Oryctolagus cuniculus: one gene and its partner. The protein of the gene in region 2 interacts with the protein of the main gene of each other region in a biochemical or structural test. Links are inferred from orthologs where the notes say so. Each region holds a gene or a part of one and is shown on either strand. Other genes may lie near its edges.

Evidence for each region.
Region 1: of the proteins of MCM7 (region 2) and DBF4, one has a biochemical effect on the other in vitro, tested with the Homo sapiens proteins (2 studies listed by BioGRID). The link is inferred for Oryctolagus cuniculus from reciprocal best matches to the Homo sapiens genes MCM7 and DBF4.

Annotation. Positions count from the first base shown.
Region 1 is NC_091447.1:47,460,987-47,471,949, forward strand, and holds part of DBF4 (protein DBF4 homolog A), read right to left. Parts: intron 7,704-10,963; coding exon 7,524-7,703; intron 5,277-7,523; coding exon 5,226-5,276; intron 4,800-5,225; coding exon 4,730-4,799; intron 4,511-4,729; coding exon 4,434-4,510; intron 675-4,433; coding exon 638-674; intron 1-637. UniProt on the Homo sapiens protein: Regulatory subunit for CDC7 which activates its kinase activity thereby playing a central role in DNA replication and cell proliferation. Required for progression of S phase.
Region 2 is NC_091450.1:42,362,448-42,372,167, forward strand, and holds MCM7 (DNA replication licensing factor MCM7), read right to left. Parts: upstream 7,515-9,720; 5' UTR 7,387-7,514; coding exon 7,356-7,386; intron 6,800-7,355; exon of another isoform or gene 6,666-6,799; intron 6,662-6,665; exon of another isoform or gene 6,536-6,661; intron 6,291-6,535; coding exon 6,211-6,290; intron 5,903-6,210; coding exon 5,738-5,902; intron 5,592-5,737; coding exon 5,467-5,591; intron 5,393-5,466; coding exon 5,212-5,392; intron 4,919-5,211; coding exon 4,781-4,918; intron 4,552-4,780; coding exon 4,402-4,551; intron 4,224-4,401; coding exon 4,109-4,223; intron 4,028-4,108; coding exon 3,896-4,027; intron 3,776-3,895; coding exon 3,692-3,775; intron 3,474-3,691; coding exon 3,080-3,473; intron 2,839-3,079; coding exon 2,755-2,838; intron 2,062-2,754; coding exon 1,893-2,061; intron 1,779-1,892; exon of another isoform or gene 1,718-1,778; intron 1,557-1,717; exon of another isoform or gene 1,495-1,556; intron 1,350-1,494; exon of another isoform or gene 1,290-1,349; intron 1,122-1,289; coding exon 1,012-1,121; intron 872-1,011; and 3 more. Other genes in the region: AP4M1 (AP-4 complex subunit mu-1), read left to right, coding at 7,819-7,876, 7,972-8,060, 8,215-8,321, 8,513-8,609, 8,865-8,975, 9,068-9,148, 9,349-9,411, 9,513-9,579 and 1 more. UniProt on the Homo sapiens protein: Acts as a component of the MCM2-7 complex (MCM complex) which is the replicative helicase essential for 'once per cell cycle' DNA replication initiation and elongation in eukaryotic cells.

The DNA of each region.
Region 1 (10,963 bases), on a different chromosome or scaffold from region 2:
TTTATGCTAATCATTTCAAAATTAAAGTAACAATTCGAATCATTAGAACTTGTTTTGATGGATAATAAAAGCAAGTACGTCACTAATTCACAATAAAACCTACTTTGATAACAGAATTCTAATACAACTGATTTTCTTGGTAATCTAATAATTTTTACTAAAACATTTTAGAGGCAGAGAGAGAGTGAGTGAGAGCACTCCCATTTGTCAATTCATTACCCAGCTGACTGCAATGGCCAGGAATGGGATGGACTGACACCCAGTGCCAAGAACTCAATATATGTCTCCCACATGGGTGACAGGAACCCAACCACTCAAGTCGTCACCACTGACCCCCAGGTCTACATCAGCAGCAACCTTAAGTCAGAATCCAGAGGTAGGCATTCCAACAACCATTAAGTAAAACACCAACCCCCACCCCCTAAATATTTTCCTTAAAAAATATTATTCTGAGAAGCAGGGGGATGGGAGGTTGTTATACGCTTCTTCAGCAGGGTCCATGTACTCAAAAAGTCCTAAGAAACTTATGAATAAATCATTTAAAGAGTTGTTTGCATGATTTTAGAAGACCTTTGTATAATTTCCTCTATTCTTTAAAAGCAAACTAAATACATTTAAAGATTTCAAAAATACTTACTTTTTGTTTTTTGTGTGCAAACACCAACTCTTTTCCCCTAAAAAAATTTAAAAACACTGAATTTAAAAACAGTAAAAACAGCAAATTCAGTTGCTCAGTATCCTCAAGATTAAAAAAATCATATAGGAAAAGTAGCATATCACAGAGGAGTACTTTGTGAAAAAGAAATAAAGTTTGCCTTATAAAATCAACTAAATCAAAGAAAAGTAGCAATGATCATTCAAAAATTAATATTTATTATTTATTTGAGAGGTAGAGTTAGAGAGAGAGAGGGAGAGACAGAGCGAAAGATCTTCCATCCTTTGGTTCACTCCCTAAATGGCTGCAATAGACAGAGATGGGTTGAATGGAAGCCAGGAGCTTCTTCTGGGTCTCGTACATGGGTGCAGGGACCCAAGCACTTGGGCCATCCTCCACTGCACTCCCGGGCCACAGCAGAGTGCTGGCCTGGAAGAGGGGCAACCGGGACAGAATTCAGCACCCCGACTGGTACTAGAACCCGGTGTGCCGCTGCCACAGGCAGAGGATTATCCTATTGAGCCACGGCGCCAGACTAAATAAATAAATCTTTACAAAAAAAAAAAAAAAAAAGTTATGGTTTGTTTGATTATATCTTCATTCTAAAGCATGAGTAATCACTTTGTAACAATGATCAAATATGGTCTTCATTATGTCATGATGTTAAGGAATCCTGTTTCAACCAGATATTTTATACCTTCTTGGCACCTTTGACAGCCATTCAAAAAATCAAAGTTCCAAATTTCTTGGATTTGATATTTCCAGTTGGGCCCTTGGAAATATAAAAAGGATTTCTGTCTCATCTTGCAGAGACAGCAACCAATAAAGCTATTTGGATTATATTAAAGGTAGTGTCAAGATGTGAATGGTGCTAAATTTTAGGTTATGATAATGTAAAACGCTACTGATACAAATGTCCAAGTTACCAAAATCTAAAGATGTTGTGTTGTTATCAGAATGACAGTTACCTTAATGAGAAAGGCCCAGAGGCCTAAAGGGGTTAAATGTTTTATAAAATCCTACAGGTGGCCGGTGCCGCAGCTTAATAAGCTAATCCTCCGCCTGTGGCGCCAGCACACCGGGTTCTAGTCCTGGTCGGGGCACCGGATTCTGTCTCAGTTGCTCCTCTTCCAGTCCAGCCCTCTGCTATGGCCCGGGAGTGCAGTGGAGGATGGCCCAAGACCTTGGGCCCTGCATCCGCAAGGGAGCCCAGGAGAAGCACCTGGCTCCTGGCTTTGGATCAGTGTGATGCACCGGCCGCAGCGCGCCGGCTGCAGCAGCCATTGGAGGGTGAACCAATGGCAAAACAAAGACCTTTCTCTCTGTCTCTCACTGTTCACTCTGCCTATCAAAAAATAAAATAAAATAAAATAAAATAAAATAAAATAAAATAAAATCCTGCAGGTGCTTTCAAAAATACTATATGCAGTAATCAAGAGCCTCCTGTTAGTTAATGAGTTTATAATTTTAAACACTGTTATTTAAAGTCTTTTGTCATCCACAGCTCTGTATTCTCTAAACACTAAAAAATTAGATTTCTATTAATGAGGTTAAAACATTGTTGGTTCTATGTCGAATGTGTCCTCTCTTAGGTTCCAAAGGAGTTCTTTTTCTCTGACCTCTGTTGTATTCAATACTTTGGGACAGTTCTCTAAGCACATAATGCCAATAATGGATTACAGGTTCCAACAGAGATAAAGTATGGTTAATTTAGGTTACTAAGAACAGGAAGTAATTGTAACTGATTGATGGTAATTAAAAAAAAAAGCTAAAGATTTTAAAAAACTTATTGAAACTGCTTTACTCTTCTATCTTTTATGTTATACATGTGTACATATTATATGTCCACATGGGAAAATTCATTAAGAGCTCTGTTTTAATAGGATTATAGATTGCTCGTAAATTTGAGCTGCTAAGTTAATCAAAGATTAATGTTTTTGGTTCACATGATCTAAATAAATCTCTGTATCAGATGTTTTAAATTTGTTGGCAGAAAGAAACTAAAAGTGTTTGTACTTGGGTTTGCTGGTCAAACAAGTTAACACTTGTGTTAGATATTTAAGCGATGTTTCCAAATACATGTTCTCTTGTCTTGAAATTTATAGAGGGCACTGGACCTTTGGTAAATGTTTTCATAAATTGTTATTTAACAGTTAAAATTGCTTGCTAAGTTTTCATTTGATATTAAGTTATTGACAATAAGTGATCTGAGAAGGCTGACTTGTTCCCTCATTTCTCTATTCTCTTCAAGATGGGAAACTGACTCTATACTGAAAGACTCTCCAGGATGTACAGTTTGATCTTTAGACTTTATAAAAGGGATGGCTAACAGTTTTCTGTAATAGCAAAGCCAAAATAAGAGCTTCAATTATGATTTCACAGCTAGATTTACTTTGCCATGGGCACAGTAAAAAATCTCCCTTTCAGACCAAATGAAGGGAGAGAAAGTTTCACTAATGACTTCAAATTTTATGAGGGGGTCATCATGTTTGATGTCAAAGTGAGGACATAGCGTTCTTCATGGGCATTGATACCTCACAGAAAAATCACTATCAGAACATACCTATGACTATAGATTTCTAGCTTAGGCCACCAAAGATTAGGAATAGGATTGAGCACCCCCTTGACTTGCATCCTCTTAAAGACTGCCTCCATGGTCTCCTTTACCAGAAACCAGGAGAAAAAAGGAGCAAGCTGGGCAGTGGTAGCCATGGAAAGATAGGTGACAGGCCAATTAATGGCTGCTTTACACAGTGATCTGCCATCAAGGAGTCCCAACAGGCCACAGCACCGCAAATGGCATTGGTTTTCAATGTGGAAAGCCAGGGCTTCAGATGGATACAGAAGTCAGCCTTCAGAGAGTCCTGGCACCTCTGCCAGCCAAGAGTTGGGTCGCTGGAAATGGAACTGACCTGGAGTCCAAGCTCCTTCTGAGCTCCCGGTTTACTGTAAAGCAAATTAGGTATCCCACCTCTCTGATGGCTCTTTGTTTTATATAAATTGAATAGCAAATATATCAGGAGTTTCATGCTTTGTAGGTTGAAAGGTGAGAAGCATAAAAGGAGAGATACAAGAAGTTTGGATAAAAGGAATTACAAAAATTAGATGTAGTTAGGTAGGGATTGAAATTAAGGGAGGTTTTTTTCTATTTGTTTTACAGAATGGAAATGCTTGGATTTGTATAGCGGGTTCAAAGAAGAAACCAGGAGAAAAAGCAGAAATTGAAGATATGGTAACATCAGGTCTAATGCAGCACATTGCCCAGTGTGGGTAACAAACATTTCACAGTTAGGACAGCAAGTCTTATCTTATGGGTGGTGGGGGTAGGGGTGGTGGTGAAGTGTATATACGTATGCATGTGCATGTGTGTGTGCAGCAAGGCTACGTTACATTAACAAACAGAGCAGTTGAAAGGAAATACACTTCCGATATATATTCCAAAAAACAGCACATTACTTGAATTAGTAGTATCTTCTAATGCAATAAGGTAATTTCAGTGTTTTCCTATAAACAGAAGTATCTGTTAAAAACTGCAGTAACCAAAAATGAAAAAGACAAAAAGAAGCCCATGCTATTATCCCAAAACAACTTTCACCTCTTGAGTATAATCCTCAAGATAAATGACATGCAACTGTTTTTTGAACAATAGAAACATTAAAACACAAAATCATACCTAGTATATCCTGGCAATAATACTTTGTATGGCAAGAAAAATTTATAGATACATACATAAAAAAATCAAACTTGATTACTTTTAAAATTAAAGAAGACAACATACCACATCTTTTACAGAAACACTTGATTTCTTGAATAAATACAACTCCTTTTTCTTTTGGTCAATGTAGTATCTAATGTCTTTATTAAAAAAAAAAAAAAAGAGAAAGATTTGAGATTAGCAACTTTAGCCTTGGAGTTAAAACACTGTTTTGTTTTTTCATAATTGTAATAGATTGAGATGAATGAATTGCCATTACAAATATCTCTTGCTATCAAAGTTTTGACTATGTAATGTCAGGAACTGAGGGGTAGAATGAGTTAACAAATACTGTCCAAAGACAATTATAAAATCCTTACCATCAATATGAAGAATCTTTACTCCCCATGATAAGGCATTTGATAATATACTATTTGAAGGAATAAAATCCTGTAAAAAAAATTTGATAATTTTTCTAAGAAATTATTATTTTAAAGAGAGCTAAACTGTTAAAAAAATCAGTTATTTGAAGCATACTATCTCTGAGATGGTAATTCATAACAGACCAACTTCACAAAAGTAAAGAGGATATTAAGTTCTTACTTTTGACACTTCTAAAATCAATCCCACTAAAAATACATTCTCACATTTTTAACAATTTAATGCATATTTGTAAGACAAATTTCAAGTTTCCAGTAATATTTTAAAAGGCCACAAGATGGGGATGTTTCTTCATGAAAAGGACATTGTAAAATGAGATACAGGTTGAAATGCATGTTTCTTCTATTAAAAATGAGGAAAAGAATGCTTCAAGAATATACACTATGAGTTTTAATAACAAAATGTACAGTGTGAACTTTTAAAGTTCTTACTTACATGGTCCTTGATAGCTTTTTCAACCAATAATTTTCCTCTGCTTAAACACACCTATAAAAGGACCAGAAAAATGAAGTTATAACCTAATGTTTCAGTGTAGAAGAAAGGTTACAAAGGTAAAATAGCTAAAGTAATGTTTTATTTGTAAAAGTCTTAATAGCTATCAATACAATACATATACAGTGAAAAGTGATTTCTTCATGGCCTTGGCAAGATCTCAGATTTAAAAAGTTTTTTTGGATTGAGCAATTCAACTGAAAGAGACCTAACAGATCAGTTTTGAAAAATAGCCAGGCCACACCAGAATTTTACATAATTAGTTGATTTATATTTTAGTTTACTATTTAATTGAAGATTTAAGAAAAATAATTTTATATATTGTTTTTACATGTTATTTCATTTTTTAAATAAAATACTAGGAAAAGCAGTTGAAATGCAATGAACATCAATTTGGAATAAACCACTTGTGTACTGTCTCCTTGCTCCAAAAATTCATGCATGAGTCTTCCTTGGTTTCTTCTTTTGATTTTTTTTTCCTTCTGTGAATCATGTTTTATAATTTCTTCTGTAGGTCATTTTTCCTGCCTGTTTTCTTCTCCTTTTCTCTGCTTTTCAAATTGGTACAGTAGATGAGGGTTTATTTTCCTACTTTAGATTTATTTGAAAGGCAGAGTTAGAGAGAGCGAGAGAGAGAGAGAGAGATCGAGAGAGATCTTCCATTTATTGATTCATTCCCCAAATGGCAGCAATGGCCGGAGTAGAGCTAGTTCAAAGCCAGGAGCCAGGAGCTTCTTCTGGATTTCCCACATAGGTGCAGGGGCCCAAAGACCTGGGCCATTCTCCACTGCCTTCCCAGGCGAATTAGCAGGAAGCTGGAACAGAAGTGGAGCAGCTGGGAGTTGAACCAGGGCCCATATGGGATGCCGGCACTGCAGACAGTGGCTTTACCTACTAGACCACAGGGTTTTTAAGGTTTATTTGAAATGCAGAATTAGAGAGAGAGGGAGAGACATACAAAGAGTGAGCTTTTTCCATCCACTGGTTCACCCCCTAAACAGTCGCAAGGGCCAGGGCTGAGCCAGGCCAAAGCTGGGAGCCTTGAACTCCTGGGTTTCCTATGGGGCTTGCAGGGGCCCAAACACTCAGGCTATATTCCACTGCTTTCTCAGGTGCTTTAGCAGAGAGCTGGATCAGAAGATACAGGGAAGGACAGAATAAGGTGATTTAATAGAGTGTGGGGAAGGGAAAAGGTCGAGATATAAAATGTTAGGTTTATCTCATATTCCACTGCTTTCCCAGGCACACTAGCAGAGAGCTGGATCAAAAGCAGAGCAGCCAGGACTTGAACCAGATTTCACATGGGATGGTAGCATAACAGGTAGTGGTTTAACCTGCTGCACCACAATGTTACCCCAATTGAGGATTTTTTAAAATGAGAATTTAAATATGTTTCAATATAAAAAAAAATGAGATAAACCTAACATTTTATCTCTCAACCTGTTCCCCTTCCCACACTTTATTAAACCATCGTATTCTATCCACCCCTGTATCTTCTTGGCAGTGGAATAGCTGGGATGTCATGTTAGAAACTCTAAAACAGGCTGGTACCCTTTTTATGCAAAGGGTCAGATAATACAGATTTTATGTCTTACAGATGATATAGTTTCTAACAATTATTCTATTCTTTCTAAAGCATGAAAACCACAACAAATAATATATAATAATTCTTTAAAAGAACGATGCGCTATTAAACTTTTAGTTGTAGATTACTCTAAAAAATATAATTCATCCTTAAATGCAAGGTATATGTTAAGAATCAGGGTACAGGGCTGGTGCCATGGCTCACTTGGTTAATCCTCTGCCCACGCGCCGGCATCCCATATGGGCACTGGGTTCTAGTCCCGGCTGCTCCTCTTCCAGTCCAGCTCTCTGCTTTGGCCTGGGAGGGCAGTGGAGGATGGCTCAGGTGTTTGGATCCCTGCACCCGCGTGGGAGACCAGGGAGAAGCACCTGGCTCTGGATTGGTGCAGCGCTGGCTGTAGCGGCCATTTGGGGAGTGAACCAACGGAAGGAAGACCTTTCTCTGTCTCTCACTGTCTATAACTCTACCTGTCAAAAAAAAAAAAAAAAAAAAAATCAGGGTACAAATACACAAGCACTATTTTTTTTTTTTTTAAATCACCTTTCCCAAAGACAATCAGAAAGTCTTGTGGCTTTATAACTGCTCTATCTATATAAACTCTGTTGCCAGTCTGGTATTGATAGGTGACAGCCTTTCAAAGCATATTTGAGACTTACTGTGTCTGGAGACTTAAATGAACTTCCATCATGGCTGGGATGAGGAGAAGTGGTTTCTGCAGTATATGCAGATTCTGGACTTGGTACAGGAGATATTCGGCCCAAAGTTTGAGCAAATTTAGCTTCCTTTTTATTTGAAATAAGATAACTGATATCTTTGCTAAGAAATTCTTCAACTCGCTAGAGGAAAACAAAACATTTGCATGTCATAAAAACCAATTGTTTCATACACTAGGCACATAGTAAAACCCCAATTTGATGCAATTTACTGTCTTAAAAATTAATGTTTTTAATGCTGAACCTGGAATTCTAAGGAAATGTAATCAGACTTTCAATAACACAACAGTATGTGTTGTAATCCATGTAACAACCCCATAGTATTAATATTATCCATCTTTTTGAGAAGACAACAAAAAAGAAATGGCTTACTTGAGATTATACCAATAGTGAAAGCCCATGATCTAAAGCAGCAGAGTCTGGCCGGTGCCACAGCTCAATAGGCTAATCCTCCGCACACCGAGTTCTAGTCCCGGTCGGGGTGCCGGATTCTGTCCCGGTTGCCCCTCTTCCAGGCCAGCTCTCAGCTGTGGCCCTGGAGTGCAGTGGAGGATGGCCCAAGTCTTTGGGCCCTGCACCTGCATGGGAGACCAGGAGAAGCACCTGGTTCCTGCCTTCGGATCGGCGCAGTGTGCCGGCTGCAGTGGCCACTGGAAGGTGAACCAACGGCAAAAAGAAGACCTTTCTTTCTGTTTCTCTCACTGTCCACTCTGCCTGTCAAAAAAAAAAAAAAAAAGGGCAGCAGAGTCCAGTAAAATTTCCTCAATGACGAAAAGAGTTTTCTGCACTAGCCAATACAGCAGCCACTTGCCACATATGGTGACTAAGCACTTGAAAAGTTTTCAGTATGACTGGGCCATTGGATTTTAAATTTTATTTGAAGCTAAATCATTAAGTTGTAACACTTTCCCCCAAGGCTTAAACTTACAAGAAAGAGAAAATCTTTACCTTAAGAGTGTAAGATTGTTAAACGAGAATCTGCCTACTAAAATGTTTGAAAATCACTGCTTAAATGCCTGAATATTATAAGCACATAAACCAAAGTCAATGTTACTGAAGATCACTCACATCCTGGGGCAGGAAAATTAAGCAGAAGTAAACACTAAATAGAAAAATACTAGTATTACTAAAATATATACATTGCACAAATAAATATTAAATGAACAGTAAGTACACTAAGTAGAAATAAATTATTAATCCCTATTTGTATGGAAAAAAAGACTTCTGAATTGGATAATTTTATCTAAGTATGCAGAATTTGCTACTGAGACCCAGAAAGCCTTCTTTGGTAACATGTAAATCAATTTTTTTTGAGTATTTCTGTTGGCTAATAAATAAAGTACCCACATTTATTTATTTCAGGGATTAAATATTCAGTTGCCTGCCACAGCCAGAAAGGAACTTAAAGGAACAATTTACACATTAAACACTGTCTTCATTTTCATAAAAGATACCCTAGCAAAGACGGAGGTTCTAATTTTAAGAGAAGCCTCTCCTACATATTTTGTGATAAAATAGACCTGAAAACTTTTACCATTTCAACCATTTAAAAATGTTTATTTTTATTTATTTGAAAGGTAGCGAGACAGAGAGAGCTCTTCCATCACTGGTTTACTACTCAAATGCCCACAATAGCCAGGGCTGGGCAAGGCCAAAATCAGGAGCCAGAAACTCCAGCTGTCTCCCCCGTGGGTAGTAGGAAGTCAAGTCCTTGAGTCATCACCTGCAGTCTTCCAGCACACATTACCAGGAAGCTGCATTAGAAGCAGAGCAGTCAGGACTCCAACTGGAGCTCTGATATGGAAAGAAGGTATCCCAAGAAGCAGCTTATTACCCCACTGTGCCACACTGCCTGCCCCATTTTAACCATTCTCAAGCATAGAAGTCAGTGACAATACTTTCATAATGTTATGCAACTATCACTGCTATCAAGATTTCTAGAACGTTTTTCATAATCCCAAAGTGAAAAATCTGTACCCAGTTAAACAAGTACACATTCTCCTCACCCCCACTCCCACCCCTACCCCCAGCTCATGGTAGCCTCTATTCTATCTTCTGCCTGTATGAATGTGGCTCTTCTAGGTATCTCATTGCCATCAAGGTCCTCAACAAAACCCACATTGGAATTTAATACTCATTGTGTGGTCTTAAGAAGGTGAAAACTTAATCTACAGCATTTGGAAGTGGGACCTTTGGTAGGTAATTAAAGGTTAAATGAGGCCAAAAGGGCGGCACTCTAATCCAATGGGACTAGGACTTTAAAAGAAACAGAAAAGTTTCACTATGTAATGTTCTCCCTGTCATGGGACTTTGCAGAAGGTTTCCACCACTGAGGACCTTACCAGATATGGCCACCTGACTTAGAACTTTGAGCCAAATAAAACTTTATCCTCAGTCTGTTACACAGAAAATGGACTAACACAATCATATTAAGTGGAGTCTTGTATTCATCCTTTTATGACTGGCTTCTTTCACTTAATACAACATTTTTTAGGTTCATTCATGTTGTAGCAAGTTTCAGTTTCATTCCTTTGAAACCTGAGTTAACGCTCCATTGCAAGTATATACAATGTTCTGTTTATCAATTCACCTGTTGGATGTTATGGCTGAAGAACAGTATCTGTGAATAATACTGCTGCCATGAACATGGATATAATAAATCTCTCTTCCAGAACTTATTTTGGACACATATACTCATAAGTAAAACTGCAGGATCATACATAGTATAAAATATTTTTTCAGAAACTACCCATGGTGTTTCACATAGTGGCTGCATCATTTAACATTCCCACTAAGAGTGGACAAAGGTTTCATTTCTCCACACTTGTCATCTTCTGATTTTTTTTTAAATATTTATCTGAAAGGCAGAGATAGAGAGAAGGAGAAAGAGAGAGAGAGATCTTCCATCCATTGGCTCACTCCCCAAATGACCACAACAGCCCAGGCTCAGCCAGCCCAAAACCAGGAGCCAAGAACTTCCTCTGGGTCTCCCACTTGGGTGCAAGTGCCCAAGCACCTGGGCCCATCTTCTGCTATCTTCTTTGGACATGAACAAGGAGATGGATTAGAAGTGGAGCGGCCAGGACTTGAACCAGCGCCCATAGGGTATGCCAGCACACGACAGTGCCAGCTCCCTGATTCATTGACAGTAGCCATCCTAATGAGCATGAAGTGGCAACTCACTGTGATTTTTATTTGCATTTCTCTGATGCCTAGAAATGTTGAGCATCATTTCATGTACTTAACAGCCATGAGGTATCTTCTTGGAGTAAATGTCTTTACAAGTCCGTTGCCTAATTTTTAATTGAGTTATTTTTTACTATTGAGTTGGAAAAGCTCTTTGTATAGTCAGGATGTCAATCTCTTATATATATATATGATTT
Region 2 (9,720 bases):
CATTTTTATTAGGGACATTTCAAAAGCCTGGCTCCTGTGGGTGCTGAGAATTAGAGGGAGTGGTTTCCCCTGGGTTACTGCACTGACCCAGTGCCTCACCCCTGCCTGTTGACAGTGGTGCTATTGGCACTCACTTGGGAAAGGCCAGAAAGCGGGGATTTACCTGTGCCTGGTAACACCACTGCATGCCACTCCTGGTCTTTTCCTCAGCCCCCTTGAAGGGGCTTTACAGAAGCTGGGGATCGAGCTATCTGAGCTGTTGTGATGGATACACCTCAAGAAATAGGAAAGGGAACCGCTGTCTTGCCTATGGTTCTCACTGGTGCTGAGGTTAAATAGGAACTTGCTCCTCACTGCCTCCCCAGCATCTCGTGGTGGCTGGTGGGTAGCGAAGGTACTTTCTCAGAAAGCTCAGAGATGGGGTAGGGCCAGCATAAAGGGGAAGGAGAGAGGACTCTTAAAGCCCCATAACACCTGTTTAACAGAAGTCAGGACCAAGGTACAAGGCAGCAATCTACACACTTTATTATATTAACAAAAGTAGCAAAACAAGCAAGTGCAGCACAGGAAGAGGGGCTCCTCCCACCCCTCCGGAGCTGGGTTACACCTGCAAAGGCAGCAGGTGAGCGGCGAGCACAGTGGGTCCCCAAGGTCTCAAGCAGGTTGGAATCAGACAAAAGTGATCCGTGTCCGGGAAGCATTGACCTGCCAGACATTCAACTCCTCATACTCGTCCAGAGCTGCTTGGAATTGGGCAGGTGTGAAGCCACGGGATATGCAGCGCTGCTCTGCCTCAGAAAACCGGACGCTCCGGGCCCCCGAGACCAACTCGCGGACAGTGGCAAATATCACATCTGCTGGCCTCTGTGTCCTGAAGGAAACACGAGGGTATGGAATCAGGGCACAAGCCAGGACACTTGACAGTGACAACGGAGAGTGGTCAGCTCATGCATCTGGATGCTGAAGCCTGCAACGGTCAAGGTGACCCAATCTCATCATTAAACCACTCACCTGGCTGTCTGCCCCTTGTCGCCCAGAAGTGAGTCCTTGGACATCTCCATGAGCCTTATGGCTTCATTCACATCTTCCTTCTCCACTGTGTCCACCATTCTCAGACGTGCCTAAGGGGAAAGTAGGGGAGAGAGGGGGACAGGAGGAGAATGGAATAAAGTCAGAGAAACCCCCTTGGTTCCAGCTTTAAGGCTGGACAACCTATGTGCCGTCTGCTCGCAAAAGGAGCAGGGACCCCTCCCCTGCTCCCCCACATCCGCAGTGTAGGGCCGGCACTGTCAGACCGAGACAAGTGCAATGCCCAGGGCAGCGTCCAGCAATTGCCCAAGTCTCCGCCTCTCAACACTGGCCAGTCCCGGTGTTCAGCTGTCCTGTGAGGGAGACCAGACCCTTCCGAACTCCAGTGGGCTCCCCACCACGACAGATGCAGCCTGGGGAGCTCAGCCTAGCAGGCGGTTGGCAGAGAGGCTGTGTCCCAGGGGCTCGGGAAGTGCTAGCTCAGCAGTAGGTCAGGTAATCACACTACCTGCACGAACAGCACTTTGGAGCCCCCGGGACTACGGTCCGAGATGTGAGGACAGAAAGGAAGCTTATAGCACAGGATCAAGGAGGTGGGGAGAGAGAGGGACCCTCCCCCGCTTCAGTGAGGCTGCAGAAGTGGGGAGAGAAGGCCTCTCCTTCCGTGGACGTGCGTGCCCTGCTGGAGCAGCAAGTACCCACAGTGCGGTAGCACGGACAGGACCACTATCTGCACTGTCAGCACTTTAGCCCCAGCAGGGCGGGTGTGGGAGGAGGCGGCAGCGAGAGGACCAAGTGAGGGTTCATTGCCAGTAGGGATGGAAACGGACACCCTCCAGCAGTACGGGGAACCAGGCACTCACCAGAGCAGTGGAAAGTCGGAGAATGGCCAGCAGTGTCCGGGCGGAAGTGTATGTGGCATCCTTACTGGCCCAGGCCTCTCGCCTCATCTCCACGTATGCTGCTGTGATGTAGTCTGCCAGGGACTCTGGCACTGTGGGCTGCTTCTCACGGCACATGGCTATGTAGCGTCTGTGGGAGAAAAGGTTCATGGGAAAGCAGAACATGAAGAGGGGGAATGGGGTACACACATGGGCATGGTGTTTTCTGCCTAATGGTTCCTCCATTTAATGAGAAAACTCTCAGAAGTAAGGACTTTTAAGCAGAAAAACGAGTGGGTGACTCTGTGTTTGACTCCAGTATCGCTGAGGGATTTCCACATCATGTTTCAGATGATTTTCAACTTTTCAGGAAAGTGACCTCTGTGAAATTAAGACAAATCCAACTGTCACAAAAGATCACCCACCCTCTTGTAAACATGATGTGGCTAAAGGGACTAGAAACATACTATTTCAGTAGATAGAGCGCACAGCAAGACCCTGAGCACACACCGGGAACACTGGGGCCATGGAGAAGAGCTGGAGGGCGATCCAGCGCAGCCTGAACGCTGTGCCCACCCCCGCAGGCAGGACCATGGTGGGGGTGGCGAGAAAGGCAGATTCTAAAGACATGCGGTCCTTGGCTAGCCAGGTTCGGGGAACCCAGACTGGGTGTTCTTACGCCTGGCACGTGGCAGAAGCGGGTAGCAGGGAGAGGGTGGGCAGAGTATTAAAAAGCCAACCCACCCGCTCTGTGAAAGCCTTTCAGGAGCCACACAGCCACGACGCTGTCACAGGCTGCACACTTGCCTGAAGTACACCTGTCCCCCCCCCAGCAGCCTCTTACCTCATAAGCTTCATGTCCAAAGGTTCGAATTGGGCGGGGGGCTGCCGGCTGTGCTGGTGCACATAGGTGATGTGCTGGGCCAACCTGGGAAGAGTTAAGAAGGCAGGCTCTTTAGAGCGCCACACCCCACGTCCTGCTTTAAATATTCCTCTTGGCTCTGTGGCTGCCTCACAGATGGAAGAACAAACTCTCCAGGAAGCCCTCAGCAGCACTTGGGCAGGGGCCCTCTAAGAACTGCCTAGCAACCCCTGCTGTGCCGAGCCATTTTCCGGGGTTCCCGCCCTCCCTCCAGAACCCCACTCCCTGGCCATGCTGCTCCACTAACCGGAGGTCGTTGTCTCGGTCGGGCCGGTCCTGGATCAGCCAGAGAAGATCGAATCGGGAGAGCAGCGCAGCGGGGAGCTGGATGTTCTGCTCCAGACTGCGGCGGGGGTTGTAGCGCCCGTAGGCAGGGTTGGCAGCAGCCAGGATGGAGCAGCGGGCGTTGAGTGTGGTGAGGATGCCCGCCTTGGCGATGGAGATGGTCTGCTGCTCCATGACCTCGTGGATGGCCGTGCGGTCGGCCTCCGCCATCTTGTCAAACTCATCGATGCAGCACACGCCCTGGTCGGCCAGCACGAGGGCCCCGCCCTCTAGGGTCAGCTCCCCGCTCACAGAGTCTCGCAGCACGGCTGCCGTGAGCCCCACTCCCGAAGAGCCGCGGCCTGTTGTGTACTGGCCTGGACAAAGAGAAGCAAGCGTGCACGTGAGAACGAGCAGGGAGCATGGGAAAAGGCCAAGCACCCAAGAAACAGGGCAGTGAGACGAGACCTGCACTGGATTCCTCCACTCTCACCTCCCTGGTCTTGCCACCACCTTTCCCAGACCCGCTCCTTCCACCTCCTCCTGCCTCTGGAGTACTGCGGTCCTCTCTGCCTCCCCAGGGCTGGATACTCACTGCGGGGGGCCAGGCGGTCGATGTAAGACAGGAGCTGCGACTTGGCCACCCCGGGGTCCCCCATCAGGCAGATGTTGATGTTGCCTGGAAGGAAAGGCAGCCCGAGTGACTTCTCCCACTGCAGGTTGTCCAGAAACACGCTTGAGGTCCAACCCCCATGACTCCATCCACCCTGCCCTGCCCTGCCCTCCCTCCCTTCCTCACCCCTGATCTTCATTCCTCGAGGAGACTGGTCCACACCTCCCACCAGCAGAAGCAACAGTGCCTTCTTGACATCTTCGTGCCCGTAAATCTCTGGGGCGATAGACGCTGCCAGCTTTTCATAGAAATCCTCCTCTGCGGAACGGGAAGGTCGGGCTCTTTGGTCGGGGAAAGGGGCCAGGACCAGGCAAGCGCCCACCCTTCCTGGCCCCTCACCTGCAATCTGCCTCAGCTCCTCCCTGCTCAGCTCCCCAGCCCCAGCCTCGTCATCCTCACTCTTGTTCATCTTCACGATTCGATGGGCCTCTAGGTACGTCTCCGAGAGTAAACCCTTGGGCAGGAAAAAGCGGGAATGAAATCCCTTTAACTTGGCCATGATCACTCCCCTAATGACTGCTTCACACAACCCTTTGTTCTGTTTGTCTGCTTGTTTGTTTTTCTGTTGTTCCCTCTGAGGTCCAGTCAGGGGAAGGGGGACTATTTCCCCCTCATTTCCAACTCTTTCTTACCTGGACCACCTGATGGAACCCAGTGCGCAGGAGTGGCAGGAAGATGCCCGTGACACTGACGTGGTCTCCAGGCTGGGCAATCCTTGTGTTCTCCCCTTCCACCAGCACTGTGATGCTCCGTGGGATATTTCCCACAGGCACTTGGTCGCTCTGGAGAAGAGAGAGTCTGAAAGCCAGCAGACAGGGACCCAAGCCCACAAGGACCTAGCCTTCCCCCCGGAGGCATCCCACTCTTCAGAATCCCAGTTAAACCTCCCTCACTCCATGTGACCCCGTGCCAGCTCCTCCCTCTCCTGGGCTTTCTGCTCCTTCAGGAATGACTGCAGGACTTGAGTGGACTCCCTGCTCCACCTGCCTGGGCCACGTACCCCAAACTCACATGTTCCTGCATTTTCATTTCCTGGAACTTGATGAACTTGGAGCCGCGTGTCTGCAGATACAGCCGCCCGCCTGAGCGGTTGGTCTGGCATTCCTGGCTCGGGCACATGATCAGAGGCATGAAAGTGGGAGACTGGATCTAGAATGTGATAAGGGAGGCACCAAAAGAAATCAGAAGAAGAAGGATCCTTATGAGCTTCAGTTACCTGAATCACATTTTCTCTTCACAGCAGACAACAGACAAGTATCAAGAATGCCTACAGCTAATCTGGGCTGTAAATGATAAAAACGCCAAGAAAACAAAATAGACTACTATTTACGGGAAAAAAATATAGCTATCTTTGGCGGTAAGCACAGAATGACAGATACACACATCAGCAGGTAAAATTAGTTTTACAGAAAACAACAGTTAAGCACTGCCCTGTTACGTACTGGCTGGTAGGTCTCTGCCCCACACTGGTCACAGGTGTAAGTGGCCACCACCATCCTGGGTTTGACTTCAGAGACACGAGTGACGATTCCGCGCACGGTCACCAATTTACCCACAGAGTCGGCCCGTACTTCCCGGATCACACGAGGTTTGTTGCTGCTCGGGCCTTGAAAATACAACTCACTAAGGGGGGAAGACGGTCATCAGCAAGGCCCAGGAGGACACACGCCTACCGCCCTCTCACAGCGACCACTCACAATCTGCGCATGAGCTCAGGAGGGTACTGGTTCTGGGGGCTTCGGGCAGCTCCAGGGTCCCGGCTCCGCTGCTCCATCATCAGCCGGTGCTCAATGTAAACATCCAGGACATCTTTATTTACTACCTAAAGCAAAAAAAAGAAAAAAAAATGAGAGACAAGGAAAGGCACACAGGAGGCAGATATAAAAGCCAACGCCCCCTCCCCCTTTCCGTCAGCTCAGACACCAGCAGGGCCTGAGAAGCGTCCCAGCACCAGCTCCAGCCACTCACCTCCCGATCCTTGTACTGAGGCAGCAGCTCCTGCACGGCGTCAGCAAAGAGCCGCGCGTAGCGCTTGGCGTTCTCGCAAATGGAGTCCACCAGCTCAGGGTCGTCCTCGGCGACGTCATCCAGGTCCACGTACATTGCCACTTGTTCCCGATGAGCCAGGCGAACCTGGGGAAGGGAGGAGAGAGCAACACCTCAAAGGCAAATTCACCATGGTCACTTGTAAGGGCCCAGTGCCGCGAGCTCAGAGCCCAGGTCTGGGCATCCACAGGAGAGTACATACAACAGAGAAATACCTCCGCTCCCAAGCCCACTCCTAAAAACGCCCTCATTACTCGAGCACAGAATCTTAGCAGGTATCAGGGTCTCCCTTGAACGTGTCAGGAATGCACTTACTGAAAGGAGCCAGGGTGCCTGCTGCGGCCTCTTGAGCGACCACCCCACCCCTTACGTTCTTCAACCCATCTTACACCTACCAACTGGTCCCCATACTTGAACTTCTTCTTCCCCAACTCTTCATCCTGGTAAAACTCCTGCAGAAACTTCTTAACCTTCTCTGCAACGGAAACGAGAAACCCTAAGGGCCAACCCTGCAAACCCTGACGGCAACCCCAGGGAGCCGCGGTCACTTAGAAACTAAATTAGGACTAAATCAGCCAATGGCAGGAGCCTCGGGACAGACCTGCCGGGGTGGACACAACTCCCTTCGCAAGCCTGGCCCCCGGGCAGCCGAGAACTTACTACCCAACCCTCTCCCCCGGGGGAATCTCCGTCTCCGCGCTCCCCAGCCGCTTCCCTCACCCCGCAGCACCCGCGGCCGATCCCGCTCTCCCCGCGGGTCCCCGGCCCTGCGTCCCCGCGGGGCTCCCCGCCACCGCTTCCGCTCTTAGTAAACAAAGAAGCACATGGGCCCCGATTCCAGCCGCCTCACCGCTCGGGGATTCCTCCGCCCGCGGCGGGAGCCCGTCCGGCGACCGGCCAGCACCCCGGGGGCCGCTCGGCCTCGCCCGACGGCCGCCTCTCCCGGCCTCGCGCCGGCCGCTCGGGGTCCGGGCACGCCCCCCCCGCCCCCCGCCTCGGCCGCGCTCGCCGAGGCCACCGCGCGGAAGGACACTGTTTACACACGACACTCCCTCCGCCCGCGGGCCGCCACTTCCGCCGCCTCCACTTCCGCCGGGAGGGCGGCCCGAAACAGCCAATCGCAGCGCGCAGCGGCCCCGGCCGGCCCGCCCCCCCCCGACTTCGGCGCCAGGGCTCCGGAGGGCGCGGGAAACCAGGGGGTGCCCCCGGGCGAGTCGCCATCGTGCAGGCTAAAGCCCCTAGACAGGGTCCCCCAAGACCCGGTCTCTCGCGGACGCGACCCACCCCCCCTGGGGCGCGCCACCGCAGTTACTCCCCCTCCCACGAACCCCAACACCCTAGTCGGGCAATGGCCAGCGTTTCTGCAACCCCGATGCTCCCATGCGCCTCCCAGGCACCGTCCACCTCAGCCTGGCCGCGGCCCTCGCGGATCGCCCCCGACCCGGCTCCCGAGACCACCACCCCCCGGCTTCCACCAACAGGTGTTAGCCGGAAGGCATCCAATGCAGGGCGCGCCCCTCCCACACCCGCAGGCCCTTGCCTTTCTCGAGCGCGTAGTCCTTAAGCGCCATCGCTGCCGAGGGCCAGGCGGCAGCAGTTGGCGGGCTCGATAGTCTTGCTCACGGGAAGCACAGACCGTCCGCGCGGCGGGCTGTGGCGGACCAACCGAAATTGGCGCGAAACGTCGCCCCCCACGTGACCCGCGCCGCGGCGTGCGGGCCAATCGGAGAGGCCGGCTCTCCGCCCCTCCCTCTCATTGGGAGGTTCCAGCTTTGCCCAATGATGGGGCGAGCCTGGGTTGAGCGACGGGGAGGCGGTGGAGGGGCCGGGAGGTAACCGCCTGCCGAGGAGGGGCGGCGCCGGGTTTCCCGCGGTCCCGGTTCGGCCTAAGCGGCGGGGAAGCGCTCTTAAAGGGCCAGCCCTCTCGCGTCCTTCTGTTCCGGGACCGCAGGGCGGGACAGACCCAACTTTCGCCGTGTTCTGATCTGCCCTCCCGAACGGCCATGATTTCCCAGTTCTTCATTCTGTCCTCCAAGGGGGACCCGCTCATCTACAAGGACTGTATCCTTGACCACCCGCGGGCGGGGTCGGGTGGGAGTCGTGCCCAGGGTCAGCCTGTGTCGCTGGCTCCTTAACTGTCCTCTCCCACCGGCCAGTCCGTGGAGACAGCGGCGGCCGGGATGTGGCCGAGCTCTTCTACCGGAAGCTGACGGGCTTGCCGGGAGACGAGTCCCCGGTTGTCATGGTAACCGCTCGCGGCGGGCGGGGGCTGGGAGCCGGCGGACCCGGCGGGTGCCCCCGCTTTGGGGGGCGTGGGGAGGGTCCGGGGTCGCCGGGTGTGGGCCTCGGGAGCCCTCGGTCACCACAGCCCAGCGCCTCTCGCCCCGCCTCTGCCTCAGCACCACGATGGCCGGCATTTCATCCACATCAGACACAGCGGCCTCTACTTGGTGGCCACGACTTGGGCAAATATTTCTCCCTTCAGCCTCCTCGAGCTGCTGTCCCGGTGAGGAGGGCCGGGCCGGGCAGGGCAGGGCCGGTCTGGGCAGGGCAGGGCTGGGCCGGGCAGGGCAGGGCAGGGCAGGGCAGGGCTGGGCTGGGCTGGGCTGGGCTGGGCTGGGCTGGCCTGGGCAGGGCAGGGCAGGGCAGGGCAGGGCTGGACTGGGCTGGGGCGCACTTGCCTGCCTCCCTCCTCAGGGTAGCCACTCTCCTGGGCGACTACTGCGGCTCCCTCTGCGAGGCGACCATCTCCCGTAACGTGGCCCTGGTCTATGAGCTCCTGGATGAGGTGCTGGTAAGACCCAGGGACTTCTCAAAACTTCGCGAACAAATGCCGTTAAAGGATGCGCGTAGTGCCAAAGGTTGTGAAACCCACGCATCGTCCCACCCCACCCCACCCCACCCCGCAATATTGATTTCCTATAAATCTGAAGACTCCCCATACATCCAGTCTTCTACCACGGGACGCCGTGGTCAGGAGGCCTCCTTTTCCATCCCTCTCCCGGCTCCGCAGGCGGCCCAAACACCCGCCTTTCTTCTCCACCGCTAGGACTATGGCTATGTTCAGACCACGTCCACAGAGATGCTGAGGAACTTCATCCAGACAGAGGCTGTGGTCAGCAAGCCCTTCAGCCTCTTCGACCTCAGCAGTGTTGGCTTGGTAGGTCGGGGAAGACGAGGACCGAGGGTGGGTGGAGGACAGGCCGGGAGTGTCCAGTGTTCCCTGGGCTGATTGCTCTGGGTGCTTCACAGTTCGGTGCGGAGACCCAACAGAGCAAAGTGGCTCCCAGCAGTGCCGCCAGCCGCCCTGTCCTGTCCAGCCGCTCCGACCAGGTGAAGCAAAGATCCATGGGGTCGAACCAATTTTCTCCCAGGACCCAGAGCCCCAGAATCCAGTCCCAGAGACCCAAAGCCCCAACGTGGCTTTCCACCCCTGACCGTGTGTCCCCACCTTTGACTGCCCTGTGCCTTCTGCCCAAGCGTTCCAGGGCATGGGCTGGTCAGCCACCAGCCTCCCACATTCTCTTCCTCAGAGCCAGAAGAATGAAGTTTTCCTGGACGTGGTTGAGAGATTATCTGTACTGATAGCATCTAATGTGAGTCTGGGTGCTCTAAGCCCAGAGCTGCGGGCAGACGGAGCCCGGGCAATGGGCTGGGGGGTCGGGACGCAGGGCAGTAACCTCCCTGCCACTCTCAGGGCTCCCTGTTGAAGGTGGATGTGCAGGGAGAGATCCGGCTCAAGAGCTTCCTGCCCAGTGGCTCGGGTGAGAATCCGGGTTGGGGTGGGGACGGGCCCCTTGGCGCCTGTGGAGACATCTGCTGACCTTTCCTGCATTCCTCCCTGGGACAGAGATGCGCATCGGCTTGACCGAGGAGTTCTGTGTGGGGAAGTCAGAATTGAGAGG